3 linked regions of the Mytilus edulis genome follow. The protein of the gene in region 1 purifies or fractionates together with the protein of each later gene. This does not show direct contact. Links are inferred from orthologs where the notes say so. Each region holds a gene or a part of one and is shown in the gene's direction. Other genes may lie near its edges.

Region 1 (10,970 bases):
ATGACATAAAGCACAGCAAGTAGACAATAAAAAATTTCATATACACATAATGTATATATAAGAAAGCACACAGAATTTTTTTGACACATTAATGTATTGGACAAATAAGACTTGAAAAGAGAGCTATTAGAAAGTGCTTGGAATAAAATATGTGTAAAGAAACATTTTACTTAAATGTTATAACTTACATGTATATAGATATGCTGCTATTGGTGATCAATACATATTGCCTGGTGCACAGTATGGATGGTGCTTTGATAATCTGCTTTTAAAACTATTTTCTTAAAAAATGCTTTATTTATTATGTACTTTAAAATTAACCCGATGAGGAAGAGAGGTCAGCTAGCAGGCATATTCTAAAAATAGCATCAATCTATAAAGAATAGCTATGGGAATTCAGATTTGTTAAGAGCATTTATATTGCTTCTTGAATTTTATCCAAATAAGAGAAATTTTACTAATTAGTAAGTATTGGTACTTATTTCTATTATTTTTAGTAATATCAGGATCACTCTTTGCCATGCCATCATAAATGGGTTTTTGAGACAAAACAAGCTTTAATTTGCAGATGGAGTTACACTATACACTATTTGGCTATATCTCATAGTACCTGACATCTTGTTTTTATATAAGAGCATGGATATCAGCAAAAATGTTGGCAATCTTCACTTTTATGTCTGTTTCTAATGTTGTTTTTGCAAATGTCCTTTATATGCTGTATTTATCTATTGTAACATACTTTTATGAAACATACTAATAACTATAATATTAAATCTTTCAGGATGGTCAATGTAGAAAAGACAAAGTGACACCAATTGCTAAACTGAAGAACTATGTGAACATAACACAGTATGACCAACAAGCATTGACATTTGCTATTGCCCATATGGGACCAGTTTCTGTGGGTATTGATGCATCATATTTGTCACTGTCATTCTATGCTAATGGTGTATATTATGAACCAAAGTGTGGTAAGTGTGCTTCTATGCTAATGGTGTATACTATGAACCAAAGTGTGGTAAGTGTCATTCTATGCTAATGGTGTATACTATGAACCAAAGTGTGGTAAGTGTGCTTCTATGCTAATGGTGTATACTATGAACCAAAGTGTGGTAAGTGTCATTCTATGCTAATGGTGTATACTATGAACCAAAGTGTGGTAAGTGTGCTTCTATGCTAATGGTGTATACTATGAACCAAAGTGTGGTAAGTGTGCTTCTATGCTAATGGTGTATACTATGAACCAAAGTGTGGTAAGTGTGCTTCTATGCTAATGGTGTATACTATGAACCAAAGTGTGGTAAGTGTGCTTCTATGCTAATGGTGTATACTATGAACCAAAGTGTGGTAAGTGTGCTTCTATGCTAATGGTGTATACTATGAACCAAAGTGTGGTAAGTGTCATTCTATGCTAATGGTGTATACTATGAACCAAAGTGTGGTAAGTGTCATTCTATGCTAATGGTGTATACTATGAACCAAAGTGTGGTAATTGTCATTCTATGCTAATGGTGTATACTATGAACCAAAGTGTGGTAAGTGTCATTCTATGCTAATGGTGTATACTATGAACCAAAGTGTGGTAAGTGTGCTTCTATGCTAATGGTGTATACTATGAACCAAAGTGTGGTAAGTGTCATTCTATGCTAATGGTGTATATTATGAACCAAAGTGTGGTAAGTGTCATTCTATGCTAATGGTGTATACTATGAACCAAAGTGTGGTAACTGTCATTCTATGCTAATGGTGTATACTATGAACCAAAGTGTGGTAAGTGTCATTCTATGCTAATGGTGTATACTATGAACCAAAGTGTGGTAAGTGTCATTCTATGCTAATGGTGTATATTATGAACCAAAGTGTGGTAAGTGTGCTTCTATGCTAATGGTGTATACTATGAACCAAAGTGTGGTAAGTGTCATTCTATGCTAATGGTGTATACTATGAACCAAAGTGTGGTAAGTGTGCTTCTATGCTAATGGTGTATACTATGAACCAAAGTGTGGTAAGTGTGCTTCTATGCTAATGGTGTATACTATGAACCAAAGTGTGGTAAGTGTCATTCTATGCTAATGGTGTATACTATGAACCAAAGTGTGGTAAGTGTCATTCTATGCTAATGGTGTATACTATGAACCAAAGTGTGGTAAGTGTCATTCTATGCTAATGGTGTATACTATGAACCAAGTGTGGTAAGTGTCATTCTATGCTAATGGTGTATACTATGAACCAAAGTGTGGTAAGTGTGCTTCTATGCTAATGGTGTATACTATGAACCAAAGTGTGGTAAGTGTCATTCTATGCTAATGGTGTATACTATGAACCAAAGTGTGGTAAGTGTCATTCTATGCTAATGGTGTATACTATGAACCAAAGTGTGGTAAGTGTCATTCTATGCTAATGGTGTATACTATGAACCAAAGTTTATAGGTCTAATGGCCATGTTACTTAGGTTCTGAATTCAATATTCTTAGATTCATATATTGTCTGTCCTACCTTTGTTAACTGTTAATTTCTGTGGGTTTTTATTTACCAGAAAGCTCTTTATTTCTGTGCAAACATTCTATTTAGAAAAGGATATAAAGTTATTTAATACTTCCTTGATTTTATGTGGAACTCACAATAAAATATTTACTATGGTCCAAAATTTGCTACACATATCACTTGAAAGGTCCTGTTTATAGATAATTTAGATAATATATTTCTGGTATTTGCCACATACAATGTGTGCATTATAAGTTACCTTAAAAAAAAGTCTATTATTGATGTGCCTTTTTTATCTATTATCAATTAAAAATTATTGTATGTGCTATAACAAATTGTATCAATACAAGTAATAAAACAGGAAGCAAAGTGGCATGGTTTATAAGGCATTTCAAAATTTAACATCCTTGGTTTATAAGGTATTTTAGAATTTGATAAAAAATATTTGTTTATACAGCTGAACTCTAAATCAATGCAGATTTAAATGCATAGGTTACTTGGTTTTAAAGAGTAGAAATTATAAAAATAAATAAAAAGATTATCTATATCAAAAAGTAATAATTGTTAGAAATGAGAGTAACAGTAGGTTTAACTTTTTATATTTTTAGGAAATAAACCAGATGATTTGGATCATGCCGTTTTAGCTGTGGGATATGGGACAATGAATGGTCAAGCTTACTGGTTAATTAAAAATTCTTGGTCAACATACTGGGGAATGGATGGATATGTACTTATGTCTCAAAAAGACAATAATTGTGGAGTGGCCACTGATGCTACATATGTTGTCATTGAATAAACATTCATTTGAATAAAATGTATTAAATTTTACCAGAAACACAGATCAGATGAGCGCTTCTTCAAATCAAAGTTAACTGTGATAGATATTACTCTTATAGTACTGAATTGTACATGAAAATAGATTTTTTTTGTATAGTTGTTGGACATTAGATTATGACATAATCATAATCTTCAATTAACATGACTAATTTCCTTTTTTGTTTTTTGTTTGTTTGTTTGTATTAAATTTTTTTCGTTTTGAATATAGAAATAGGTGTATACAGCTAAACATGATACGCTAAAGTGTAAAAAAAGATGAGCAGTAAATAAATTTCTTTGGTCTTTTGGTGCAATATAAAACAAAAAGTTTTGTACAGGTGGATTTGTTACTTTTTCATTTTTTTTCAATAAAAATGAATATATCTTGCCATATGTTGTGTTGTATTTTTATTACAAGGTTGTTTTTTTTTGTGTAATGCAATTTTAGGTAGTATAGGGGTTATTATCTGACCTCCAAGACAGTTATTTTGAATACTTTGCCAAACTGTCTTTGATATCATTCAATTTTTAAAAACATAAAAATTATATTATACATCACCAAACTTATGTTTAAAACCAATCTGATGAGTTTAGTCCTTTTCATCTGATGTTTACAGTTTGTTCTTGTGTTGCACCTTTACATCACTGTCCCAGGTTAGTGGAAGGGGGTGCATTGGTGGAGAGTTGTCCCATTCACAATCAGACTACATCTTAATTTTGTATTGTTTCTAAATGTATACACTAGATTCTTTTCCTTTAAAATTACCATAAAAGGCAGATAATAATCTATTCCTAACTCTATAGGTTGTCATGTTGCTACTCTGCATAAGAAAAGGTTTGCATGCTTGTTTTACACTTTTCATTAGACTGTGTGTTAACAAGAGTGCATATACTGAAATGTCTTGCCTGCTTCACTTTTCATGTTTGAATTCATGTTGAAAGTCTGTATACATGAACATTTTTATAACAGTACCACATACCCTTAACATTATAAATGATCAATATAATTTAGGTTAATGTCATTAAAACCCTGCCAGAGAGTCTTGAACACCATACTGTCACACCAAAAACCAAATAAAGTTAGCCAATTGCAGTTAGTATCTGAGAAACATAATTAATTACAAAATTTGAACATTAACCTATGAACCATAAAAATGACGTGAAGGTCAGATGAACCCTGCTAGCCAACATTTAATACACCAAATAGTATTGCCATATTGCTTACAAAAGTATTTTAGAAACAAACAAAAATAACCTCAAAAACTGAGCATTGCCGAATGAACTATGTAAATGAGGTCATGGCCAGATGAACAGACAGACATGTACAACTAGAATAATTATGTACACCAATTTTAGTGGCCTTATGGCTGATAGTATCTGAGAAATAGATCAAACCATAAAAACTATATATTATTTAATGAACCATTCAACTTATGAACCTTTTCAGACAGACATGAAAACCTCATGATTATTCATTACACCATATGTACTTAACCTATTGCTTTTAATATCTGATAAATGGACAAAACCATGAAAACTTAAATTGACCAATGTACCATAATAATAAGGTCAAGTCGAATATATCACAACAGACATGTACACCATACAATCATTTCATAAAACAGAGTAGCCTTACTGCTATTGTATCTGACAAATAGACCGAATACGGAAAAAAATTAACTTTGACCAAACATGAAATGTACAATCCATAAACATGAGGTGAAAGTCAAATTAGTAACCTGTAAATAGTATTATCGCTATTTTGTGCATTTTTCCTATGATCTTTTTTTGTGATAATTTTCATATCATTCTACTCGCTTGAGATGGAAAATTATCGCTAGAAACTAAGCAGGCACGTGACGTTGCTAACGAAATTGACATGAAATTGACAAACGTCGTCATAGGTAAAATAGCGATAAACAGATTATCATTGATCATCTCAACTCGATTGCCTTTCTCGCTTTCGCCGTCCCGACTCAAGCGAGAAAATCAATCTCGTTGAGATGATCAACGATAATCTATAATTATCGCTAATTTGTGCATTTTTCCTTTGATCTTTTTTTGTGATAATTTTTTCATATCATGCTACTCGCTTGAGATGGAAAATTATCGCTAGAAACTAAGCAGGCACGTGGCTTTGCTAACGAAATTGACAACGTCATCATGGGTAAAATAGCACGTCCCGGCTCAAGCAATAAAATCAATCTCTTTGAGATGATCAAAGATAATCTATAAAGATACCAAGAAGACTGATCCGTAAGAAAAATTCAAAAATCCTTTATGAAATGGCAAAATCAAAATCTCAAACACATTCACTAGTAGTTTTATATTTAGCTCCAAACATATTTTGGTTATTTTATATGATATACCTAAATACAGAGAGCTCCTTCCCGATACTGAATTATACCAAGGATTTTAATATATGGGTCCTATATATATACACTGTATGATAAAGAACTAAAAGTGGCCATAGATCGAATAAAATGCTTATTTCTCAATAAACTTAAAATCTGAGTGACCAAAACTTGGAGAAATTTAGAAAACAACAAAATTTGGTAACTTAGTTTAAGAAAAAAATCAATAAAAGTATATCTTTAGAACATTGCTCTGCTGGGTCAAAATCATGCAAGTTTTGAAACAGTTGAACCATTTTTTTCACAATAAAGGGACAATTTGTCTTTTTCGAATCTAAAGGACGATATGGTAATCTCATTGTTCGTATACTAAAATGTAAATAACTTTACGTCTTTGGTTTAATTTCCATTGTTTTGTACAATTTAAATCAATCACAACATTTTGGTGTATGCTTTTGAAAGTATTACCCAGAATGCATTAGATTCTGAAATGGTGACTTGTGGAAGATAAGGATGGAAGGGATTTTTTTTTTACTAATATTGTTAAATCGCATTGAAAAGTCTTTGAACACCTTAAATAGATAAAACTAAGTTAATATACTGACAGTAAGCTAAAATATCAAATATAAAATATAAAATAAAATATAAAAACCAAAAATAAAAAAGGGGGGTTTACTCCACAAACACCTGTGTTTTATTTATAATGTTCCACTTTTATTTCCCAATATATATACAAGAGTTATCTTTTTGAATGGATGATACTACAAATAAAAAAATACATTTTCAATATATTAAGCTATAAAACGGCAAGATTTTTTAGAAAAGCTAATACTTGTATTATCACAGTGGCAGAATAATCAGACAGTTGATTGCGGCCGCTTAACTGGAAGAAGAAGATCACTAAATACGGAATATGCATATCCGTTACGTTACGCTGCCGGTATTTAGTATTCGTTTCTTGCTTCCTGTAAAAAAAATCACGTTTTTATATTATTGTTTTCATCTCTTCTGTAAGTTTCACTCCAAAACACAGAAAATGGAGCCTAGATAAAACATGTAAAGTACATGAAGCGATTTTTGATTTCTTTCAGTAGTTTAAAAGTAGTAGGGACATCATAAAGACCAAAATCGTTTTACCAAATGGTTTCCAAACTCATCACTGACACTAGTGACAGCAGTCGAAACGCAGGCACTTGTCTGTGAGGCGAAAACAGACTTAAATGTCATGGTGAACACACAAAAAAATTAAAATAAAAAAGTACACAAAAAAAACAACATAGAACTAAAGACTGAGCAACACAAACTCCTCCAAAAATCTAGTCCGAGATAATACACCTTATCGCTAATACCGGCTGACCCGGCCGCTTGAACTTTTGACGTCAACAACAGTCACTTTTCCATTGTGGTGTCAAATATTTTGCTTTATGACATCAAAATTTTACGGGAACCTGTGTGATATCCAGTAATGGCGGACAAATAGCGATAAGGTGCATACTCTGACGTCCAACGGCAATGGCTGTTTTGCCAGACAAGCTGGGGCCGTGGGACGTCAGAGCTCGTCCCATATCAAAGAGTGGATATTTGCCCACCCAAAATAGATGCGCTGCTTCCTCGCTTCTTGTGCCGACTGACGGCCTTGGAATTATATAAATCGGGCATCAATCTGTTCATTTTTCATTTATCTTTTCATTTATGTAAGTTTCACCTACCTGCCAACCTTTATTTTTCCATATTTTAACAGTTTTCACAGAGACCCATTGATGTTTGCATTTTGACTTTCACTTTCAAATGGAAGTCAAGTTACGAGAGAGTTTGTGGCCTCGAGACTCAAATATGCAAATATTTATATTTTTTCATCTCCTTTGTAGGAGATCGATGTTTAACATTTAGTAGCCAACCTCGATTTTTCACCTCCTTTACAGGAGATCGGTATTCAGCATTTAGTTTCGACCACGAGAACAATCGGAAGCTCTCAGACACTTATATAACTTGCATCGTAAATGAACGAGGTGTTACATTATGGTCATTAGCATAAATCATCACTGTTTTCTCGTGGTCACGTGATAATCTTTGAAAATGAAAGGCAAAATGCAGAAATCGATGGGTCTCTGTGGAAACTGTTCAAATATGGAAAAATAAAGGTTGGCAGGTAGGTGAAACTTGCATAAATGAAAAGATAAATGTCAAAAAGAAACAGATTGATGCCCGATTTATATAATTCCAAGGCCGTCAGCCGGCACCAGAAGTGACGAAGCAGCCCATCTATTTTGGGTGGGCAAATATCCACTTTTTGATATGGGACGAGCTCTGACGTCCCACGGCCCCAGCTTGTCTGGCAAAACAGCTGTTAGACGTCAGAGTAATCTCGGACTACCAAAAATCAACAGTGATTCCAAGTGCTCTGGAAAGGGTAGGAAAATCCTGCATCACTTGATGTGGCACCCGTACATGAAGTCCAAATAATTAGGACGTCTAGCAAGGCTATATTAATTATTTGGACTACTGTTTGTGTATTGTGGCCGAACAAACCCATTAAAAGTTGATTTCATTAGGTCACATTCAAGGTAAATAAAATTGAGAATGGAAATGGGGAATGTGCCAAAGAGACAACAACCCGACCATAGAAAAAACCCCAAAAAAAACAACAAGACATGGACATGATGAATTTGAAAAATTGGAACATATTGGTCGTCCTGTTCATCTGTGAAACAAACAATTCATAAAAAAGATAAAGGTCAACTAACTCTTTAAATTAAAATTGTCCATAAAATTTTCAAAGGGATGATTTGACTTCAAGACTTGGAACTCAATAGCTTCCTTGTATGCTGCATCCATCTATCAAGGATATTATGATAGGAAGTGTAAGATCTGGAAAAATTGTATTAACTTTGAGATTTATACATTTTGTACTTCATACACATGATGCATAGGCTCTGCTCAGCCTGCTGGATAGTTGCTACATAGAAATAGAAAGTTCACTACTGGGAAACTGAAATAATCTCTTTTTTTGTAAACTATTTTTTTTAATTTATTCATATAAATGATTAGGTAGAACTATTGACTCTAATTGCCTATAAAGTATCTGTAGAAACTTTGCAAACATGTACTGAGTGTTGTCTTTTTTAAATTTCATTAAACATATATGTTTTAAGAAAATTAATAACTTTTTCATATTCTTGTAAGAATAATTTAAAGATTGCATACACACTGCTGACAGGGTGCAAAAAAATGAGTGAATACTTAGTCAAACATTTTTTTAAAAGCATCACACCAATTCATCTTACATGTCTTAAGGATGAACATATCTTTTTTTTTTACAGAAAATGCCAAAAAAGAAAGTATGGACAGATGAAGAAAGAGCAGAATTAGCAAAGAAATTAGATTCTGAATTAGAAGAATATGTGGCAGATTGTATAGCCAAACAAAAGGAGAAAAATGAGAAAGAAGGAGAAAAAGAGAGTGACTTAAATATAGAAGTATGTGAGTCAACGCATTGTATTGTATTTTTTGCGCAGAGATTCTGCTTAATACAACCAATATGATATTTAATAGAATCAATAATACATTTTAAATATGACATATAAAAAAAAAGAATTAAAAAAAAAAATTAATGAAGATTTTGACCATATGTAAGTCGCTAAAAAAAGTTTATCTGTAATGTTTGTTTTAGGACATAGCAAATCATCCAGCTTTCATGACAGAAGTAGATTGGAGTAAACCATTAACACCAGAGTTAGAAGCTTTGATGAAACTCAAGTACGAAGATGAAAATCCAACAGGTTTGATATTGATATTTATCATCTTTTAAAAATATCTAATTTATTTGATTTCAACCTTTTAAATGCTAAATGAAAAAATATGAAAAATTCTTCTGTTGTCAAATAAGATAAAGCATTCCATGAATCATCAAACAAGAATACTTCATAAGTATTTCATGATTCTGATAATCATTGTTTACAATAAAAGGAGATTTTGAGAATAGCTTTTTATAAGTGATAATGAATGGATTGTATTTTGGTGCATCTATTCATTGCTTGAGCTTTGGTGGAGGAATGGACAACACATTTAGGTTGGACACAAATTTTATCTACTTGGTTCATAATAAAAATAAATAAAAAAAATTGATTAAATAGGTCAAAATAAAAAAGATGTGGTATGATTGCCAATGAGACAACTGTCCACAAAAGACCAAAACGACACAGACATTAACAACTATAGGTCACCGTACGGCCTACAACAATGAGCTAGCCCATACTGCAGAGTCAGTTATAATTTTAATGCATGAACAAACAGATTACAGAAAAGCAGAATAAAATCAATCTTTTTAGCTGGAGAAGCTGTTCATATTATGTCTTGTATAATGTTTATAAGTGTTATAATTTAAGCCGGAGCAGAAGCATATAAAATGGATGGTAACCATGAGTTTAAAAAGAAGAAATATGATATAGCTATAGACAATTATACAGAAGGAATTAAATTGAGATGTCCTGATAAACTTCTGAATTCTGTATTGTATACAAATCGAGCAGCTGCACAATTTCATAGAGGTATGGACAAATTTTTAATTACAGTTTTAAACTTATTATCTGCAAACTCATTTATCTCCAAATTCCTGTCTTCTCAAAGAAATTTGTCATACTGATAAACTTGAATGTATAGTCATCGGAATGGAATATGTCAATGTGAGATTGCTTTGGTTCAGAGATAGGTTAGCATTTAATTTTAATGTATGTATTTATTTGACAACAGTATTTGGATTTAGATATCAGATGCAAAAAATTACACCCTATATACATTCCCTCAATTATATAAACTGTTATGGGTATCAAGTCTCCTGTTTCATTTCCAATGGTCATATTTTACTTTCACATTAATCTGAAAAATGAAAATGAAGAAAAAATAAGCATTAAAACCTAAAAACCAACTGCTTCAAAAATAAACATTAAACTCTAAAAACCAACTGCTACGTAAATGATATTTTAACATTAGTGAATTGAAGTTATCTCCCTTTGCCCAGTTTGGTTAATTACATTATAAGATGCTGGCCATACCTGTAGAAAACTAATCAAATGAGTTACATCAAGTAAACAATGAAAGGAAATGTTTATAAAATAAATAGATTTTTGGTAGTACTAAATACTGAAAGTTCTCTTTTTGCATAACTAAAATCGACAACTGACGTAAGCAAGTATAAAATAATCACACATTTTTACCTTATTTTTTGTAGGCTATGGATATTATTTCAAAATATTACTTGAATAACAAATGGTTTGGTTTTATTACAACTAATAATTCCTTTTTTTCTAATTTTTCAGG
Region 2 (10,860 bases), on another chromosome or scaffold:
TTGCGGCAAATTAAAGTAAGAAAACGGAAACTCAGCAATTTTTTATTTAACTTGTGCTATGGATAAAGACTGCATCTTTTTCTATGACACATTGTTGTGTAACTGTTTCATTGTAATTGGTTTCAATAGCCAAATGGTCTTAAGTAAATAACTTCTCTATCACTATCCTGTCAACACAAAGGTTGTGAATTTCAAAGCCTTTCAGTTTGACTATAATCTTAATTGACTGTCAATTTTACTAGCTTGGATCTTGGTTCTCTTCAAGCATTATTTTCTAACTCAACCAATAAAAACCAACTACTACGAAATAGTACATAATGCTGAAAGTGGCATTAAACACCAATTAACCATTGACATAAATCACACATGTGACAGAATAATTAAAAATTTCACACCTTTAAATGTTGTGTTTTTTGCACTCGGGGACTTGCTTTTAATATAGTAAATATTTGATACATGTATTGACAAAAATATTTATGTAAAGCATATAGTATTACTTAATCAAATAGCATCACCATATTTTCTTAATTCTTGTGCGTTTTGTACAGCAGCTGGTATTAAACCTAAACAGAAATTATAATAATTTTTTTTCAAGATTAGATTGATAGCATATGTAATAAAAAAATTAAAATCTAAAAGCCAACTTTTTCTTGTTATAACATATTAAAACTTGGCCTTAGTTTTCACTTGCTAAGAGCTATATATATTTGTTGGGTTGCTTTTCATGTCTAATAACCATACGACCATTAATTACTGGCTTATTGACAAATCATTAGTGTATCATTATACATTAAATGAAGTATTTTTTTCTGTAGCAGTATCTTTGTTTATTTGGCCTGTTTTTGAATTTAGTTGTTTTTCTGGTCTCTTTTCAAAAGTGCACATGTTTTTTAAAATATATTCTTTCATCTTAGAAATTCATCTAATTTCTATAAGGATAAACAAATACTTGTTTATTTTATCAAAAAGGAGGACACTTCATGAAAACGAATTTATTAAACAAATACAGCTGTGTTAAATCTGAGTCTGATGATGTTTTCTTGAAGAAAAAAAAAATGCCTTCAAAATATTTTTTTATATATTTCTTTTGTTGGTAGTTCTTTCTGCATTATCAGTGGCGCATCCAAAGGGGGGGGGGGGGGGGGGGTCCAGGGTTTGGAACCCCCCTTTGTTTGACGATCAATGCATTTGAATGGGAGCATATAGTTGGAATCCCCCCCTTTACTCTGGGTTGGGAACCCCCCTTTTTAAAATGGCTGGATCCGCCCCTGATTATATAGTAAAAAAATGAAGGTGGCATATTTAACTGTAGTATGTTGTAGTATGAAGTCCAACATTTACTGTCTCAACTCTTTGGTGATTCTCGTAAAAATAACACGCATCCCCGATAAAGACTCGTAAAGTAAAAGTTAAATAAGAAATATACTATAGTTTCTCGGGATATAAATAGACAGACCCTAAATAAGACAGTCTGACAAACAACTCGACCGTCTCCGTTTCAATCAGATATAACATAGACTCATAGAGTATGCTGTTTTAGTTTGGCGTAGATATTTCTTTATTACTTTTAACAATTCAAAGTAATACATATCCAACATACACGGCTTCTTTGGTGCCGGGCTGCCATACTTTTTGCGATGATTGTTTACATTTTTTGGCTAACACAAATGCCTTTAATTTTCACGGAATTACACAAATCGTTAAATGAGGAAACGTTACAAAGCACAACGGGCTTTATCGTGTTTCTGTCCCCTACCCTCTCATAACGGTACAGTTTATTTTACTGTTTGCGATAGATGTCGCTTCCGTACGAATAAAATATAATGAATAAAAGAAAGATTTTATGATGTATTTTCACTTACCTATTGCATCTGATGACTGATGACATCGTTTCACACCAGGACTGTCACAAATATCCTTTTTTTCTCCAAATTAAAAACCATCACCATAATAAACCATGAAATCATTATATACACTATTTACACACTGGTAAGACTCCTGAAAGAAAATATATATTGATATACTTAATATCGGCCTATTTATTACATTGCCGCATAATGCAGCATGTTTACAACATAAACTGTACGTCTGAACGAGGCTTACCATTCCTTTATAGTAATTTGAACATCAGTTTATTCATTGTTAAGGTTCATTCCGTGGACAACTTAACGGAATAAAGCGTAAATAGAAAATTGAAATTTAGCCTAACCTATTATGAGGTTTATTCCGTTAACATTGGCTATACAGGATAAAGTGTATAAAGGTAAATGAACTTACCTAATGTCTTAGACTTCGATGAACATAATGACGGACAGTTCCATCAATATATTCATAGCGACCCATTGTCACATTATAGCCATATAACTTATAACTTTTTTTTTCAAACAGTTTGAATAAGGCTTCTATGTGCCTTATGCCACTTCCATCCCTGCATAAGCCCATCAAATTGGCCCATTCTATCAGAAGCACTGGATTTAACCCATTGATATAACAAAATGCACAAAGAATAATTCTGTTCCAGTGCTTCACGTCTTTAGTCCAAAATATTTTTCTAATATTCTTTGGCCATAACTTTGCATCACCAATAACATCCTGAATTACCATCCAGGCATCACGTATTTCTTTGTTCCTGGACATGTTAGCAACTGAAGTTTAAAGAACAATATGATACATTCTAATGATTTTGATATCTACTCACCTATTGAAAGTCATCATCCGTGGACATATCATAAACAAAGGCTTGTTTACAATAGGGATTTTTTCCTTTTCCCTTTCCCTTTCTGGATGTACCTTGGACTTTGGAGGCTTTCTTTAATGGTTTGAAGCTCTTTGGGTGGAAAAGATGCTGTTCATCGTCAGTTTCCTCATCAAGAACAATAATGTCTGTTTGTTCTGTTGCTATAGGTGGGGTTGGGGGTAACTTGCGTCTCTTGTTTTTTCCTATGTTGGAAGGGCCTGGTTGGGCTTCATCTACAGCTTGCGGTATATGTCTCCTACGCCTCTTGGTGACATGAGGTGGTGTTTCTGATGGCAAACTCCTCGACATTTCGGCTTCTTGTATCTGGGGTGAATCCACCTGTTCTTCGTCTGATTCAATATCACTCCCTTGGATGATGGTGATGTTGTGTTCTTTCTCATCGTCTTTGGTGGGAGGGGTCCAGGTTTTAAAGAGTGGTCTTGAGTACGTAAACTGGGGTGGACCTTGAAGATGGTAAATACTCTGTAACAGATCAAAGAAGGCAGAGTACATATTCTGCCTGTGTGCATGGTTGCGCCACACGATTTCTGCTAAATGTTGCTCGAAAAGATTTGTATTGGAACCATTAATACGGCGAAAATGGTCCTTGGCCAACTTCCATGCCCCTTCTATCCTATTGGTACAGCAATGCACAATCTCACCAGTCTCATTGTTCACATACTTCTGCTTGAATGTGGTTTTGTGAACCACAGTAAAATGTTCATAACCAATTTGATTAAGAGTCTGGTATGATGCCCACGAGTCGGAATAGATACGGGATCCTGGCTTCACATGTTTCTGTATCAGAGGAATCAGAGTATTGGCAGATCTGTTATCGACAGGGTACATCACCAGTTTATTGGTAGATCTTTCTATTAAGCCGAAGATCCAAATTCTAGTACCCGATGGCTTCCCCCGGTTGTATTTCACCTTTCTTCCAAATAGACTCTCGTCTATTTCCACCTCACCTTCCAGGACAGTACTGCTGTACTCACGGTACACATGCTCACAAAACATTTCACGAATGTAACTGGCCCAATTCACGGCAGTGTTCTTATAATCCATGTTAGCAGTTTTTGCACTCATTGACAAACTATGTCCTTCTAAATAGTATTTCACGAAAACTAGGAGATCTCGGACATTGAAGGATGATCGTTCAAAGAAAGAATACTTCCTAATACCAAACTCGTGACCATTTTTACATCGAAATGTAAATCCATCTGGTTTGTTGCTTCTTTTGTTAATTCGGCATATTTGGGAACAAACTGAACATTCAAGATCGTCAACCAATAGCCCCCTCCTACGTAACCATTCGAATACAACGGGATTTGATGAGCGAAATAAATTGGTAAAACTCCAAATATTGCCAAAATCTTGAAAGCCAATATCAACAGCATCATACTTCTGAATATCATAACTACCTTCGCCGTGTTTTTTCCTACGCCGCGTGTCTTGTGCCATTTTGATCAATGAATACGTACCTTAAATATTTCGCATTTTATACTTTCATGACTTAAAAGTATTCACTTTCTTATATAATATAACTCTCTATTGTATACTGTCATGACTTAAAAGTATTAACTTTCTTAAATAGTATAACATTTAAAAAAATACACTATACCTTCCTTCAAATCGATAATATACCTGTCCAATATCTTGATTAAAATTCTATCTAAAGGTATCTACGGAATAAACCTCAGCGAATAAATAAACTGATTTCCAGTTCACCTATAATTTTTCATTGTAACCATCACAATACCAACATGTATTAGTCAATTCAATAATTTATTTACCTTTCAAACAAGGTATAGTTTAAACTATCCCGTTTTATTTTTAAACATTTATTTTTTGTTTTTCCCCCCAAAAATATCTATACCCCTTTTTATATATAGTCTCCCCAAAAGAAAACCCTTTAAGATCGTTAATTATTGAAGAATTATAATATATTTATTAGTTATCATTTTTAAAATATAAAATAGTACTGTATACTGATCTTGAATCTGTCCCGTATCTAAAATAGTAGTATAATTATACTGATCTTGAATCTGTCCCGTATTTTTAAAAAGATATAGATACATTATTGTATAATTTAAGTATTTCTTCTCTATTTCAGAAAGAAAAGAAGTATATACTGATCTTGAATCTGTCCCGTATTTTTCAATATTACTATCTACCATTGTATAATTCTTTTATAATTCATTAATAAAAGTAGTATATACTGATCTTGAATCTGTCCCGTATTTTTAAAAAGATATAGATACATCATTGTATAATTTAAGTATTTCTTCTCTATTTCAGAAAGAAAACTAGTATATACTAATAAATAGTAGTATATTCTAATAAATAGAATAAAATAAAAGTAGTATATATACTGATCTTGAATCTGTCCCGTATTTTTCAATTATTATATATACTATCGAATACTTGTATGTGACTTCGTCTTCTATTTTCTTATATATTTTTTCGACGAAATGAAGTGATTTTTAATTATTGTGTCTAATAATGCTCATAATACGGGATAGAATCAAGATTATACTAATACAGTCGTATTTAATATAATTTTCAATTTAAAATCTTTCCTTTATTCCTTTTTTCACCAACCAATCACAAGTGATGTTAAATCAAGGTAAAATTTCTTCAATCCCGTAAGGGAGAGAAACACGATATAGCCGCACATATATTTGAATCAAGTTAGTTTCTTGATAAGTGACTGTTATTTATTGTTGATAGTTTAATATATTTGCACAGTATGAATTCCCAACCCATTTAAAGCCATACAAAACCACTGGAGTTTGAAATCCTAGCAATAACTGTGTAAAAATATGTCAAACTCGACTATCACAGTCAGTAGAGCTTCTCTCGAAGTGCCTCTTCTCTTTGAGAGGAGCTCTAATGTGATAGTCGAGTTTTTGGCATATTACACCGTTATTGCTATGATTTCAAACTATGGTGACAAAACCACCCTAACCCTTACATTAGTCCGAGATTACTCTGACGTCCAATGGCTGTTTTGCCAGACAAGCTGTGGCCGTGGGACGTCAGAGCTCGTCCCATATCAAAAAGTGGATATTTGCCCACCCAAAATAGATGCGCTGCTTCGTCGCTTCTGGTGCCGATTGAGGGCCTTGGAATTATATAAATCGGGCATCTATTTGATCATTTTTCATTTATCTCTTCATTTATGTAAGTTTAACCTACCTGCCAACCTTTATTTTTCCATATTTTAACAGTTTTCACAGAGACCCATCGATTTCTGCATTTTGACTTTCATTTTCAAAGATTATCACGTGACCACGAGAAAACAGTGCAAATGACCATAATGTAACACCTCGTTCATTTACGATGCAAGTTATCTAAATGTCCGAGAGCTTCCAATTGTTATCGTGGTTGGAACTAAATGCTTAATACCGATCTCCTGTGAAGGAGATGAAAAATCGTGGTTGGCTTCTAAAAGTTAAACATCGATCTCCTATATATAAAGGAGGTGAAAAAATATAAATATTTTCATATTTGAGTCTCGAGGCCACGAACTCTCTCGTAACTTGACGTCCATTTGAAAGTGAAAGTCAAAATGCAGAAATCGATAGGTCTCTGTGAAAACGTTAAAATATGGAAAAATAAAGGTTGGCAGGTAGATGAAAATTAAATAAATGAAGAGATAAATGAAAAATGAACAGATTGATGCCCCATTTATATAACTCCAATGCCCTCAGTCGGCCCCAGAAGCGACGAAGCAGCGCATCTATTTTGGGTGGGCAAATATCCACTTTTTGATATGGGACAAGCTCTGACGTCCCACGGCCCCAGCTTGTCTGGCAAAACATTTCAAAACAGCCGTTGGATGTCAGAGTAATCTTGGACTACCCTTACATGTACCTTGCTGCAGAACCTTAGCTCTTAGATCCTTATGACAAGTTATGTTATTTTTTTGACTATTTGTACGCAAATAGGAAAAAAAATAACATAAGGACATAAGAGCTACAGTTCTGCACCTAACACCTACCCACTGTGGCTAGCCAAGGGTTTCGATAACCATGATATAAACCATAATTTACATTTCACTCCCCTTTCCGAGATTGTATAACCCTTGGCTAACTAAGATAACACGTGCACTAGTCATAAGGTTTCCAGTTATTTGAAAAACCCCTAGACCTACACTGGCAACAGTTGAAAAAAGGGGGGGTCTAAACACAGAAACAAAAATTGCAAAATTGTTGCACAGAAATATAATAAAAATGGGGAAAAACAAAAAAAATGACTATTAGACATGAAGACCCTGCCGTCATCTTTAAGTGTCTCATTGTATATATGATTTGAAAAAAAGAGTATTTAGGTATTTTATGCACAGGGCTCACGCTACCAGGCGACTTGGGCGAAGAAGTCGCCTTCCCGAACGTCACTTCGCTTTCCCCGACCCCCAAAAGCGAAAACAAGTCGCCCTGTTCTTGACGATACTCGCTTTCAGTCGCTTCCGTCATCGGACATTTTCAATTTTTACCAAGTTGATGAAACATCAATTTTTTATTGATAATTAAAGAAATTCAGACATAAACGATTCATTGTCTTTAGAAAAGAGGTTGAAGCATTGTCTTCGCAATGTGAAGCAGGTTATTTGATAAAAATACAACTTTTTATCACTTCGTGCATTTCCGCAAGTTCTTACTCGAAAACGTACACCAACCTAAATTTCGGCGGCAAAATAAGTTTGTTACTTCATTTAAACGTGATAAAAGTTGCCTCCAGTAAATGTTTAATCCATTTATTGCATTAAAAACGTTATGTTCCTTTCCAAATAACTTGTCAAACATCGTTTATTTTTGTAAATTTTCTTGCATTCGTCCGCCATTGACCGATTTCTAAACTACGGATCTAAACCGGACCAGCTATGACCGAAATCCGTACTTTTACAATAATTACTACGGACGCACGGATGGAACAGCTGACAGAAGAATATTGATCCCAAAAGGGAAAATTACGCATTCCACACGCATTAAGAGACTTTTGGTTACATCTAATTGATTGGTGTATATAATTCCCTATATTTTTTATGGATTGTTTCAAACTATTGATTAAAATTGCTTAACTCTGAGACTATTATACTAATATCAATATATTATGGCCAAGCTTAATAACTTTTATATTTTTTTATGAGAAACACTGAATTTCATACACAAAATAATTTTTAATTAAATTGTAATTGATATATTATAATTTCTTTACATTTTTAAAATTTTTTTTAGTGCTAGATATTTAGTTGGTAGTTTCTCACAAGAACCTTAGTAAAATTTAAACAACTTTTAATTTAAAATGTTAATTTAATTGTAATTTTTTTACTCAGATATGAATTGAACAATACAAAAAGAACATTATTTACATATGGCCCTTTCAGGGATGGGCATGATTACAGACAAATGTAATCAATTAATAATCGATTACATGAAGGATTTTTGTGCAATCGATTAATAATCGATTACTCAAATTTTAGTATGTAATCGATTACAATCGATTACTTTATCAAAAGTAATTACATTACTTTTCGATTACTGTCAATTACATACTTCAACATTTCAACAAAAAATAACATGAGTAAAACATAATTATATTGCTCAACATTTGTATATATAGTGGAAATTAAGATCTTTACCTAATGCATCATTCAAAGCATTGTTTCTAAATTATTAGTTAATAGCTGCTTTTTAGATCAAATCTCTTGATGAAAATTAGAAATATTTAAAAAATCTCGTAATTTTGACTTTCAACATATATGAAAGATGTCATCGCATTGCAATAATCACTTATTCATAACTAATTGTTTTTCAAAAAATTAGCTTTCTTACTGACACGTTAGCTTTTTTGTTTTTACTCTTTAAAAAAAATATTTTAGCATAGTTTATTACAATGTTTAAGGAAATATAAAAAAAAGTAGAATAATTAATTAGTTCAGCTAATTTTTAAGATCAAAATTTATTTTTATAATGACATGCATGTTTTAATACTTTTGTTTGGATAACCACCCTAATTACAGATTATTTAACTGCCACTGGAGTACAATTTATAACCTGGGGCTAAATATTGTAAATTTCCTTCTTTATTAGACATAAGATAATTGAAATAAAAACAAAGTATGTTTGTTATTGATTAGAAGACTTTGATCATCTCATTAGTAAAGGCAAGAATGTTGTTAACTTCTCCAATCAAATTATATACAAAATATATTTATAGTGTCAAAGGGATATATGTATCTATTTCTAAAAAGAATTGCTATGCATTGCCATTGGTTCATTGTTAAAAGGATTTTGTGTTCGTTTTTAATTTAATTTATATACATGTATATATATCATAACATTTAAGAAATCAACTGTTAATGTATTCTAAGCTTTAATTTCAACTCTGATTGAAAATGATGTTTTCAGGAAATTTAATACAAATAAGCTTACTACTTTTAAAAAATGTAGTACAGAACTTAACGAAAGACAGACACATTTCTTATTTAAGATCTATTTTATTTTTTCAATCTATTTTCTTATTTAAATATTAAAGCTCTTGAATTTTTGACAAGCACATACATCCATTTGTTTCAAAAGCTAGATATAAAGTAAATTTAGGTAGGGGAGGGATCTGGTTACTCATAATGCAGCTAGAGACAATAGATAGAAATAAGGCAGTTGCTTAAATCTCAAGTATTGTTAATGCATAATATTTTATCTGTACTACAAAGTGATAACATACATATTTTCCTCTGAAATAGGTTATTTTTCATCAAACTATTTTACTAAAGTAATAGAAATGTAATCGAAAAGTAATCGATGATTACATCCAAATTTTTGCTGTAATCGATTAAATTACGATTACATGTAATCGAAAATGTCTTCGATTACAGATTACTGTCGATTACTTGAAAAAATGTAATCAATTACAATCGATTACCATTACAGATTATGATTACCCCATCCCTGGGCCCTTTATACTATTGTAAAATCCAAACATTGTAGCGCACCGCGCGAATGAGCACTTCTCTTTCAAATCTCACCACTTCTCCCTATCAGTTTCAAAAAGAGAAGTCACTTCTCCCTATAATTCTGAAGTAGTGTGAGCCCTGATGCAGGCTATTAAAGAAGAGAGAAATTTATATCATGGGAACCAGTTCATTAATACAAAATCTAATTTTGGGAGGGAATAGTCCTGTATACTTTTTCAATCAAATGTTGGACAATCATAATAAATAAATAAGAATACCAACAAGAAACATGTCGGAAAATAACATTGCACGTAACAAAAATAACCCTTCAGCAACCTCGTTTACAGCTTTGATGGACAGTGGAATCAGTGTACATGTACACTTCATAAAAGCAATAATGGAGATGTCACAATAATGTATATGTTACCCACCATCTAGGTCGATCATTCATTATCACAAACATGACAAATAACCAACTCATCAGCACTGCAAAAAAGTAGGGACTTGGGAAGTCTGTTATTACGGCAGAGGAAGTCTAATTCCTTTAAGAGATCCACAGAACTCCTTGGTACAAAAAAAAAATTTATATAACACTAAACAGATTCATGTACAAAATGTAGATGTATTATTTTTCATCATGCTTTACACCATGTACACTGTAAATAAAATTGAGAATGGAAATGGGGAATGTGTCAAAGAGACGACAACCCAACCATAGAACAGACAACAGTTTTTATGAATTTTTAAAATACATGTAGATTAAAGCTCATATTGATTTCAATGAATACCCAATCAGAATCGAATATCTATAATTGAAAACACATGTTAGTTCAGTCTCTCTTTTTACCATGTTTACACATTTTGGAGACAAATCATGACTACATGTAATCATTAACATGATTAATGACAATATTCATTATTCATTTCATCAAATTAAAAATGATTCACAAAAGAAAACATGTTTACCTTGAAGGTGTTTGTAGAATGCCACTTTATTTTAAAACATAAAAATGAATTTCCATAATTTTTTTTTATTTACCATCATAGCAATACACTAATGATTAAAAACTTATTCAACACAAAACCTTTATAAACCGTTTGGAACAGATTCAGGGTGCCACTGTCAGTCAGGGGTACTACTTGTACAAGTAATTTTTATTTACGT
Region 3 (10,816 bases), on another chromosome or scaffold:
TGGGTCCGATATTGAGGATGTCTACCATTACTTTTTCGTTTGCCCAAAATACACATTATGTAGGAAAAACTTATTCGATAACCTTAACTGGCTATCTGAAAACTTTGTTTTAGATACAAAACTATTAATTTGCGGACACTTGGAACTTTCGAACGAACAAAATATTCAAATTTTCAAACATGTTCAGAATTACGTAAAAAGGTCAAACAGATTTCTTATGCCTTGATAGAGCGTTATTATTGCTGACACAGGACGTCATCGTTGCCATCAATCCACAAGTCATCGTCACAGAAGTATACGATTTTTCAAACTTTCTTTTTCCTTTTTTACTTCTTTGTCTCCTCTTTGTTCACCTATGAAAGCTAGTATTATATTGTATAAACTGTTTGTTTTATATGCATGTCCATTATATTATACTATTATTGTAACTTTATATTGTATTATGGAAAAGACTTCATAAGTATGATTTACTTGTGTCTAATCCATTTTGCTTTAATTCAGCAAATAAAATATGTTTAAACTAGGTGTCGTCCAGGACGAAGGTCTGGAAATTTTAAAATGCCATGCATTGGAAAATGAGGGATTATTGGATAGGAGCAGAAATTTTGCCTTTCAGTAGACCAAGTATGAACTCCTCAAAGAGTTGCATTCTCTCTACAACCACGGGGGGGGGGGGGGGGGGGGGGGTCTCAACATGGGATTTTGGGTACAGGTGTGCAGCTGGGATTTTAAAAACACCCCCCATTCATATATTGAATAATTGTGAAATCCCTACCTATACATATATTTCACAGCGAAATCATAACCCATTCATATATTTATCAGCTCAAATAGTACCTATATGCATATACAATCTTATTATACATCAAAAACACTTTTCAATTATACAATACACTTTAATTTATATGAAACATTGAACTTTCGATATCTACTGGGTAATTTACTGAAGATTATTAATTGTGACAGTGTAATTAAATTTAATCAATATCAAAACTTGTGTAAATAAGTTTCAGCAGATGTGGAAATTTTAATGACAAAGAGTTTGGGAAATTCAGTGAAGATCGTTGCACAACAAACTGAAATTTATGACCCATTGATATATCACAATCGGTCAATTACTACCTATTGATATATTTCCTCCGTAAAATTGCACCCCATTGATATATTTGACGGATCAAAAAAGGGACCCATTCCAGCGGCACATATGTATATACCTTTATATAGGAAGAGACCCCCCCCCCCCCCGTGTCTACAACTAGGCATCGGATTTAATGTCCCCATTCTGACCAGACGTGACTGCGTATTTATACATCCTGCACAGCCAAACGGACGACCAACATTGGCTATTCGGGTGAAGACAAAGTGGAAAGCTAGTTGAAAACTAACAACAGCTAATTAAAAAACTCATGTGTCTAAGTTGAGGTTTATTCAAGTTTTTGTTGATAGTCTAGAAGTGAAATGATCTAAACCAAAGTTCTAGTTTATAGTTTCTATATAAGGTAAAATCGTAAAAACATTCAATTCTAGCCAATATTCCATTCACTAAGGACGAGAGACTAGTGTACACATGACATTCGATAATTAAAGAGTTTTGACAACTTCATCTACAGATAACGTTGTTTATTATTTTTTTTAATAAAAAAAAAAAATATTTGTGAAAAAATTATGTGTAGGCACGTGCCTAAAGTGCCTAACGGCAGCTACGCCCCTGGGCGCAAATGAAATATGGTTTGTGACGCAAATGAAAGATTTCTTTTGGCGCAATTGAAATGCCAAAAGCAAAGCACCGTTTTGATTGGTTGATTCTTGAGTCTGAGTACAAAAATCGTGCTCTAAAGTTTTATGACCGCAAGGCCTGGTTTCGGATCGTGAATCTAATTAATTGTAGTTTTACTTCAAAATCTGTGAAAAATCTACTGTTTTTTTTAAAACGCGGAACAAATTTGGAAAAAATAATTACGTCTGTCAAAAGTATTCAACTTTTTAGATAATACTAGTGTGCAATAGGATAAAGAGGATTAAAAAAAAACACGTTTTGCATATATAATGATCAACGTTTTGCATATATAATGATCATATTCCAAGATATAATGATATATTTGGTGTGTCAGATAGTACAGGAAAATGTGAGATTTTCCCCCTTGAAACCGTTCATTTTGTTTTTGAAAACATTGAAGTTTGTTGGTTTTTCATCAAAATTGATCGTGAAAGATCCATGGGCAACGCATTTTCTTTATCGTGAAAGACAAGGCGTATGAAGGTTGCGCTTTTTAACCTGTAACATTAGTTTAAACATATTTTATTGTCCAAAAACATTGACAATAGGATTAGACATAAAAGGACATTTGCACTTCAAAAACTATGGGTATTTGCCATTGAAACACTTCGGGCATTTGCGCTTTTTGTTTTAGTTGAGTTTAAACATATTTATTTATGAGGGGGGATAGGACCTTTATCGGGACTCCGGGATCGGGTGTTTTTAAGCTCGGGATTTCGGGATTGACCCTTTCGGGATCCGGGAATTCTTTTTTTAGGATTTCGGGACGTCGGGATTTACTTTATTCAAATTCGGGATTTTGGGATTTCATGTTTTTAAACTCGGGATTTCGGGATCAGGACCCCTCCTATCCCCCCTCATTTATAGTGGATTGGGAAACAAGTTTTGTAAATTTATCCCTTTCCACTTTGCGGGTGCGAGTGCTGCCTTGTAGCGGCATTAGCCTGCTCTTTTTCGAACTCTACAAGGGTGTCTTTAACGGTGCAAGAGATATGGCTCTCTCTTAACACGGGTCAGCCATTTATCGTCCCCTTCCGACGGACTATCATCGTTTCCTCTTAACATACTTTCAAATGGTGTCAAGGGAGAGTAAAAAAAAGAGTTCCTGAAATTTTCATCCCGAACTGGATTTTTAACTTTGCGCTTTTAACTTGCTTTCAATTGATACACCTGAACAAGATAAGAAATGTGTAAATTCATTTTCAGAAGAAAACAGTATGGACCATAAGGGAGCAACCATTTATCTTCAAAAAAAGGGAGGGGAGGTATTTTTTTGTTTTTGTTTAAGTAATATTTTTTTTCACGCGAAGCGATTCAACCATGTCAACGTTTCCAATATAAAAAAAATCAAAATTTAAGCATTTTACATGAATGTATGGCTAGGGAAAATCTGTTGGATTAAATTTTTGTTTGTCCTCTGCTTGAAGAATATTTTTTGTTTCAATTTGGGAATAAGAACATTTTTTAAAGAGAAATAACATATCCCCCCTCCCGCCTCAGTTTGATGTTCGATGGTCGTTCCCTAAACATCTCGTAATTAATCATTTTATCCAAGACAAAAACTACAGTCTTGTTAAGCATTTAAGGTAGCGCCTTCCTCATATTAAATCTAATCTAATATGAGAATTTTAGTCAAATCGGTGAACATGAATTTTACAGCTATTGTCCCTTTAAAATGCTTTTGCAATAAACAAAGTCAGGGGCGTGTTTTATTGGTCTTGCCAAGAAATTGCCTCCGTTGAAATTCTGCAAACACCCCATAGAGCAAATTACATGGATGATTAATTTTGACCATTTGGTATATGGCCGTGTTCTAAGCGACACGTACTTGAAGGTCATACATTAATTTCTTGAATGAAATCAAATCTTTAGCTACTAATGACTGCCGTTGGGGGTCGACCGGAATTTTTAGCGAGGATTTCTTGGCATTATTCTAGTTGGCTGGTTTTGTGTGTGTGTCTCGTACCGATCTTTTGAGTTAATTTAATAGCAACTGATTTGTGCAGGTTATTTTTATATTGTACTATATATCTTTATTCTCACAAACCAAATTACAAAGGTATAGAGATAATTATACATATTTCAATACAATTACATAAATAAATAATGTACGAAAGTAGATAGAGGCATTTACAATTGTTCACCCAGAAAAGTTCAATTTGTTATTGATCTCCTTAATAAGTTTACATAGTTCGTTCAGTTCTGTACATTTTTTTGAATTCATTAAGTCATAAAACTTCAATGTGTTTGGTCCATTTCTATAGCAAAATGCAATACATTGTTTTCTACAGTTATCAAAAGCTGAATAATTAAAAAATATAATGGTATTCATCACCAATGGCCTCTGAATTACACAATACACATTTTCTGTTTTCCCTTTCTATGTTTTGCCATCTTTTAAATAGATATAGGAAGATGTTTTGTGAGTGCCAATCAGACAACTCTCCATCCAAATAACAATTTATAATAGTTTGTATTGGAAATTTCATGTTCAAAGTTCGAAATTAGGATATATGCCTGTCATTCAAAATATTTAAATATTTCTCAAACTCCAAAGTATCTTTAAATAAACGATAATTTAATGCTTTTGGTGATTCCTGTAGGTTTGCTAGCCATTTTTGTTTGCTACACTATACGGTTTCAGCTTCGGGGAGAATTGAGCGCTCACAAACATTTTGTTGAACTGTTACACCACTGTCCAATGTTAAGGGATGGTTGGGATCCGCGGCTGACATGTTTAACTCCGCCACATTACTATATGTATGTGCCTGTCCCAAGTCAGGAGCCTGTAAGTCAGTACTTGTCGTTTGTTGCTGTGTTACTTACTTGTCTTTCGTTCATTATTTTGTACCGTTGGTTAGGTTGTTAGTTTTCTTCTTTGACTGGCCGATTGTTTGAACTCATATTTGATATTGTGTAAAAACAATTGTTATGTATAGTTTTTCATTTAAATTGTTTCACACTTTTCATGGCCTTTTATAAACGGCTTTACATATGGTATCGGGTTCTGTCATTGTTGAAGGCCGTTGCCTATAACTGCTTACATCCACCATTTTTGTCCACTTCATCATTTGAACTCCGGTCGAAAGTTGTCTAATAAGCAATCATATCACATATCTTTGTTTTTATATAATTATATTTCTCGTGTTTTCTTCAGGTATGCATGAAATATTTATCACTGGGCGTTAAAAATTAGAATCAATTTAAACTTGTGTTAAATAAGAGAAAAACATCAGATAAATCAGTATTAATTTGATGGGGTTAGGGAAAATGAGGATTTCGTATATGAATATGGTTGCCTGGTAAGGGCTGAAAATAGGCTTGATTAGCGACAAATTAAAATGAACAATAATTAAGACCCATTGGTGGCCTTCGGCTGTTGTCTGCTCTATTGATGGTCGGGTTGTTATCGCTTTGACACATTCCCCATTTCCTTTCTCAATTTTAATAATGAACTCTTTCCTTCCTCATTCCTCATCTATTGATTTAAACTGAGCACTAGCCAAATTATGAGTGTTGAAATTAGCGTTTAACACCAATAAATCAATTCAGAGATGTCCTACTAAGGCTGTCGTACCATAAAAACTTTTCAGTATTACACAGCTCACATTCTAACTTATATCTACTTTCATAAACTAATTAATGTCATTAGTTTTGTGACTCTGTCGTATAAACCACCTATTAAAAAAGAAGAGGTGGAAGAGAGCCAGAAGATCTTCCCAATGCAAAAAAAAAACAGAAAAGGACCTCTTCTGGTTCACTACCGAAGATAAAAAAAACACGCCCCGGCTGCAGGTTCATTAGCAAACAGGAGTATTTTTATACATTACAAACGAGTTATACCTTAATTTTCATTATCTTTAAAACGTTTAAAAGTTCCAATATACACCATCAATTCAAACACTTTAATGATAGAGAAGATGATAACCTCCCTTTAGTTAAAGAAATCGGGAAATTTCCAGACTTAGTCCGAAATCTTGAAACTATAAGCCTAAATAATTTCTGACTAAAATGCAAAACACAGAGAAAATTAAGGTAAGACTACGGGAACGAGATCTGCTGAGTTCTGCACTCTTAAAGTTCCCCCAAGTGTAGCACAGGCAAATTTTATATTTGTTTCTATCCATAGGTAGTCCACAGGAGTTTGAAATCCTATCAATAATGGGGTAAAAATATACCAAACTCGACTATCACAGTAGAGATTCTGTCTCTTTGAGAGAAGCTCTACTGTGAAAACTTCTGTGGGAAGTCCGAGATTACTCTGACGTCTAACGGCTGTGTTTCAAGACAAGCTGGGGCCGTGGGACGTCAGAGCTGGTCCCATATTAAAAAGTGGATATTTGCCTGTCCAAAATAGATGTGCTGCTTCCTCCCTTCTGGTGCCAACTGTTGGCCTTGGCATTATATAGATCGGGTATCAATTCTTTCATTTTTCATTTATCTCTTCATTAATGAGGGGGGATAGGACCTTTATCGGGACTCCGGGATCGGGTGTTTTTAAGATCGGGATTTCGGGATTGACCCTTTCGGGATCCGGGAATCCTTTTTTTCGGATTTCGGGATGTCGGGATTTGCTTTATTTAAATTCGGGACCTCGGGATTTCGTTTTTTCAAGTCCGGGATTTCGGGATCAAGACCCCTCCTATCCCCCCTCATTAATGTACCTGTCGCCCTTTAATTTCTCATACATATGTAATTAGACAGTTTTCACAGTGACCCATCGATTCAGACATTTTTACTTTTATTTTCAAAAGGACGTCAAGTTACGAGAGACTTCATGAACTCGAGACTCAAATATGCAAATATTTATCATGTTTATACTTTTTCACCTCCTTCATAGGACAGGAGATCGATATTAAGCATTTAGTGCCAACCACAATAACAATCGGAAGCTCTCGAACATTTTGATAACTTGCATCGTGAATGAACGAGGTGTTAGATATTGGTCATTTGCATAAATCGTCACTGTTTTCTCGTGGTCACGTGATAATCTTTGAAAATAAAAGTAAAAATGTCTGAATTCTTGAGATTCTTTGATATGCTTGAATCTAAACATGTTTTTGATAATTGGGCCAGTTTTTAATGAGGTCCAAAGGGTCCAAAATTAAACTTTGATTACATTAAAAATTGAATATATGTTTTTATACGACCGCAAAAATTAAAAAAAATTTGGTCGTATATTGGTATCACGCCGTCGTCTTCTTCATCAGCGTCATCCTAAGATGAATGGTTTCCGGATAATAACTTTAGTATAAGTTAATAAAAACCAATAAAAATTTTACACAATGTTTGTTACCACAATAGTAAGGTTAGGATTGATTTTGGGGGTTATGGTCCCAACGGTTTGGAAATTAGGGGCCCAAAGGTGCCCAAGACAAGTATTTATCTAGTTTCAGGACAATAAGTTGTGTATAAGTATTTTAATTGCTCTGATATTGTACCACAATGGTCATACTATAAAGTAGAAGGTTGAGATTTATTTTAAGGGTTGTGTGGGCAAACAGTCTAGGAATTAAGTGCCAGAAAGGGGTCAAAAACAAGCATTTTTGTAGTTTCAGGACAATAACTTATGTATAACTGTATGGATATCTCTGACTTTGTACCACAAGGTTCCATATAACGAAGGGAAGGCTTTAATTTAGTTTGGGGTTAATATCCCTGAACATTTAGGAATGAGGGGCCAAAAAGATGCATTTTTCTAGATTACAGGCAAAAAATTGGGTTTAACTGAATGCCAGAATGGATCTCTCTTTAATTATGCTACAAGGTTTCTTACTACAAAGGAAAGGCTGGAATTGAGTTTTGGGGTTCTTGCTCCAAGGTGGGAGGCGGGTTTCTGAAACTTTCAATAAGTGAGGGGTCAAAAAAGAGGCCGAAATAAGCATTTTTGTAGTTTTCAGTCAATAACTTATGTTTAAGTGTATAAATCTCCCTGAAATTATACCACAAGTTTCCATACTACAAAGGGATGGATATGGGGGGTTATGGCTCAAATCATTCAGCAATTAGGGGCAAAAAAGGGGGAAAACAAGGGTCAGGGTGTCTATCCATATCGGATCCTTTACACGCAATTCAGCGGTACATGGCTCCTTTGTGAACAGATAACGGATCCTTGCCGTAAAAACAACGTGATGTTGTTAGAAAGTTATGGATGACAACAAATCAGAGAGGTATTTTGTGTTAAATTCTTAGTTCACGGAACTTTAGAATGTCAAACTGATCCACTCTTCTTATGACTATAGATAGTTTTAAGAATAACAGGCTATTTTTACAAGAAAAAGTGGGCAAGTGTCTCACATAACCTTTGTTTTTTCCAAAAAACAGCGTTTTATGCATGTTATTTCTGTCAATATGGATTTGAATAAACAGTTCATCATTTTTTAATTGCTCATTTCATTTTATTGAGTATAAAAGAGTATACAATAAGCTCCAGATAGAATTAAAAGACCGTGTTGGAAACGGATCATAAAGATCCGTTGCCACAAATTTTATAACATTTTGAACTAATTTCAGAAGACTGAACATTAGAATTTCGGTAGATTGTTTTACCCAATAAAAGAACGTCAATTTCTAATACAATTCAGTACTTTTATCAGCAAAAACAGGGAAGAAATGCTTGAAAGTCTGGAAAATGTCAACATCACTTCGCAATTTCATACAATTGCACTCCCTTGTTTCAGTGATTATTTCGTAATCATACTAGCTAACGAAATAAAATACATCTATATACTTACCTTGATAGTTGGCTTATTTCGCCTGCTATTTGTTTTTTGTTGACCAGAGTGTTTAGACAGAATAAAACACAATTTTAAAGGAACGTTTAGGTTAACTCACCTTATGTTTACGGCAAGGATCCGTTATCTGTTCACAAAGGAGCCGCGTACCGCTGAATTGCGCGTAAAGGATTCGATATGGATAGACATTGTCAGGGAATCAGGATAGATGTGGCAACGATAGGATAATTAAAATTCCTTACATATTTTTAACAGTATCAACTAAAAACTCTTTGGAATGATTATTTAACAATTGAGTTGGATGAAGTAATAAAAGTATATCATGTACATTTTCAACAGATTTGTGATATCAGTCTTTTGTTTTGAAAATGATAAAGGCTTATATGTCATGTATGTGTTCTATATAAACTAGTCTATTGTTATTTCTAGACAAAAGGAAAAGAGTTGGTAAAAAGAAACAAGGATGATAACCAGGAAGTTAAAAGCATGGTAGTAGTCAAGCATTCAACAGTGCCTGTGTCAACAGCCTTTTCAATTTTGCAACCTTCTACAAATCTTAATGTACCACCATCAAATTGGCTGAGAAACTCTTCAAGAATGGAGAAAAATATATTTGATTTTACATGGGACAAAAAGGAACACTCTCAATTTTCAAGGTAATATTTAGTGTGCTATTTTGTTGGTATTAACCCCTGATGCAGTAATATTAATGATACTGTTAATTTTCATTTAGCTGTTAGATTAAAAAAAATCCTTGGGAATGATGATCATGATTAATTGCTTGTCCTTTTTATAGGGTCTTCTCCGATTTTTAAAAAGGGCAAGCAATTTATCATGATCATCATTCCCAAGGATTGTTTTTAATCTATCAGCTAAATGAACAATATAAATTGAAAGGGATGAAAATCTTATTTTTTTGGTGAAAGAGGTTTCATGGAACTAAGAGTATTTGCAATAAGTCAAGTTTTTTTTTACACCTCTTTCACCAAAAAAACAAGATTTTCATCCCTTTCAATTTATTTTTTCGCCTACTAACTTAAACATATTTTTTGTTTTAAATTTTCATGTACCACAAGAAAATTATGATATACATTTGTACATATAAATGTAAATGACAGAATTTGTCAGTTGACTCCTTATGGGAATTGTGCTTTACCAATATTTTGTGTTTTTGTCTAATGTTTTCTAGAAAACTATAATAGATAAAAAAAAAAAAAAAAAGAACTTTAAGCAGCCAAAATAATCTTCAAGACTAAGATCTTCTATTTAGCCTCAGTGTCAATTGTCAATATACTTCTTACAGAAGTTATATATATTGCCCTTTTAATAACTATTTCACCAATTTTTAAAGCAATTGCTTTTATGCCGTCGCGTATGGCCATCTTTGTGACCCAGATCAGAGACTCCGCCCAGATCAAGCCATAGTATTTTGTTAAACAGGCTCCTTGTCAGTCATTCTTTAACACCTATGTATGTTTTCTAATGCAATACATAGCTTGAAACTTTAAAAAAAAGTTAGTGGATTTAAGAAGTTTCAGAATATGTTCTTGTAGATGTATTTTTGTATTTAAAGGGTCAACCGTTTGACTATCAAATAACATAGAAGTCCGAGTGAAAAAAAGTACATTTTTATAAATGCGATTCCGTTTTCCGCCGTTTGTACGATGTTTCAACAAAATATGGATTCATTTCAGTTGTTGATTTAGTATTGAAAATTTAACTGAATTATCTCCTAATAAATACGGTTTTTATGTTTAATTTGTGTTTCTTTAAGAGGTCAGGTGCTCTTGTTCATTCATAAAATTATCGTTCATTCATACATTTATCGTAAAATCAAAATCACTACACAGGTTAATGCGTAGTGTCAAATTATTACCTGTAATCTAAAAATAGACAAACTTTATTTGCGCAAATAATTTAGCGGAACGAAACCCTTGTTGAAAACACATAACAATAAGTTTGTTTTCCTTTTCTGTCAAAACTCCGTAATATTTATCGACCACCTTACTAATGAAATGGACCCGTCCAAACGTAGTAGATGCCAAGTCAGTCCAGATGAAGAGATATTTACAATTTGGAATTTTCTAGTTTATTAATACATAGATTGAAAAAAAGTACGTCTTTTTAAATATCATGATCAAAACTGGGTTTGCATAACAAATGTCAGATGAAACCATTATCCTCGTCTTTTCAGTGAACAAGTCTACTACGTTTGTTGACACTCGACGGTCCACCGTGTTAGCAATTTTATTTCACATGTTTTCGAAATATTGAAGATCATGTTTCGCAATGTTTCCTGAAAATT

The links.
Region 2: the proteins of tetratricopeptide repeat protein 4-like (region 1) and protein HGH1 homolog purify together in Homo sapiens (co-immunoprecipitation; 4 studies listed by BioGRID and IntAct, counting the BioPlex papers as one, with this or other methods). This does not show direct contact. The link is inferred for Mytilus edulis from reciprocal best matches to the Homo sapiens genes TTC4 and HGH1.
Region 3: the proteins of tetratricopeptide repeat protein 4-like (region 1) and erythroid differentiation-related factor 1-like purify together in Homo sapiens (affinity purification with mass spectrometry; 3 studies listed by BioGRID and IntAct, counting the BioPlex papers as one, with this or other methods). This does not show direct contact. The link is inferred for Mytilus edulis from reciprocal best matches to the Homo sapiens genes TTC4 and EDRF1.

What each region holds. Positions count from the first base shown.
Region 1 is NC_092344.1:7,119,969-7,130,938, forward strand, and holds the start of tetratricopeptide repeat protein 4-like, read left to right. Parts: upstream 1-6,864; 5' UTR 6,865-6,879; coding exon 6,880-6,882; intron 6,883-8,974; coding exon 8,975-9,130; intron 9,131-9,324; coding exon 9,325-9,433; intron 9,434-10,039; coding exon 10,040-10,201; intron 10,202-10,969; coding exon 10,970-10,970. Other genes in the region: digestive cysteine proteinase 1-like, read left to right, coding at 782-971, 3,093-3,280.
Region 2 is NC_092349.1:53,185,465-53,196,324, forward strand, and holds the start of protein HGH1 homolog, read left to right. Parts: upstream 1-5,414; 5' UTR 5,415-5,427; intron 5,428-10,860.
Region 3 is NC_092347.1:49,864,920-49,875,735, reverse strand, and holds the start of erythroid differentiation-related factor 1-like, read left to right. Parts: upstream 1-5,675; 5' UTR 5,676-5,788; coding exon 5,789-5,812; intron 5,813-8,940; coding exon 8,941-9,167; intron 9,168-10,816. UniProt on the Homo sapiens protein: Transcription factor involved in erythroid differentiation. Involved in transcriptional activation of the globin gene.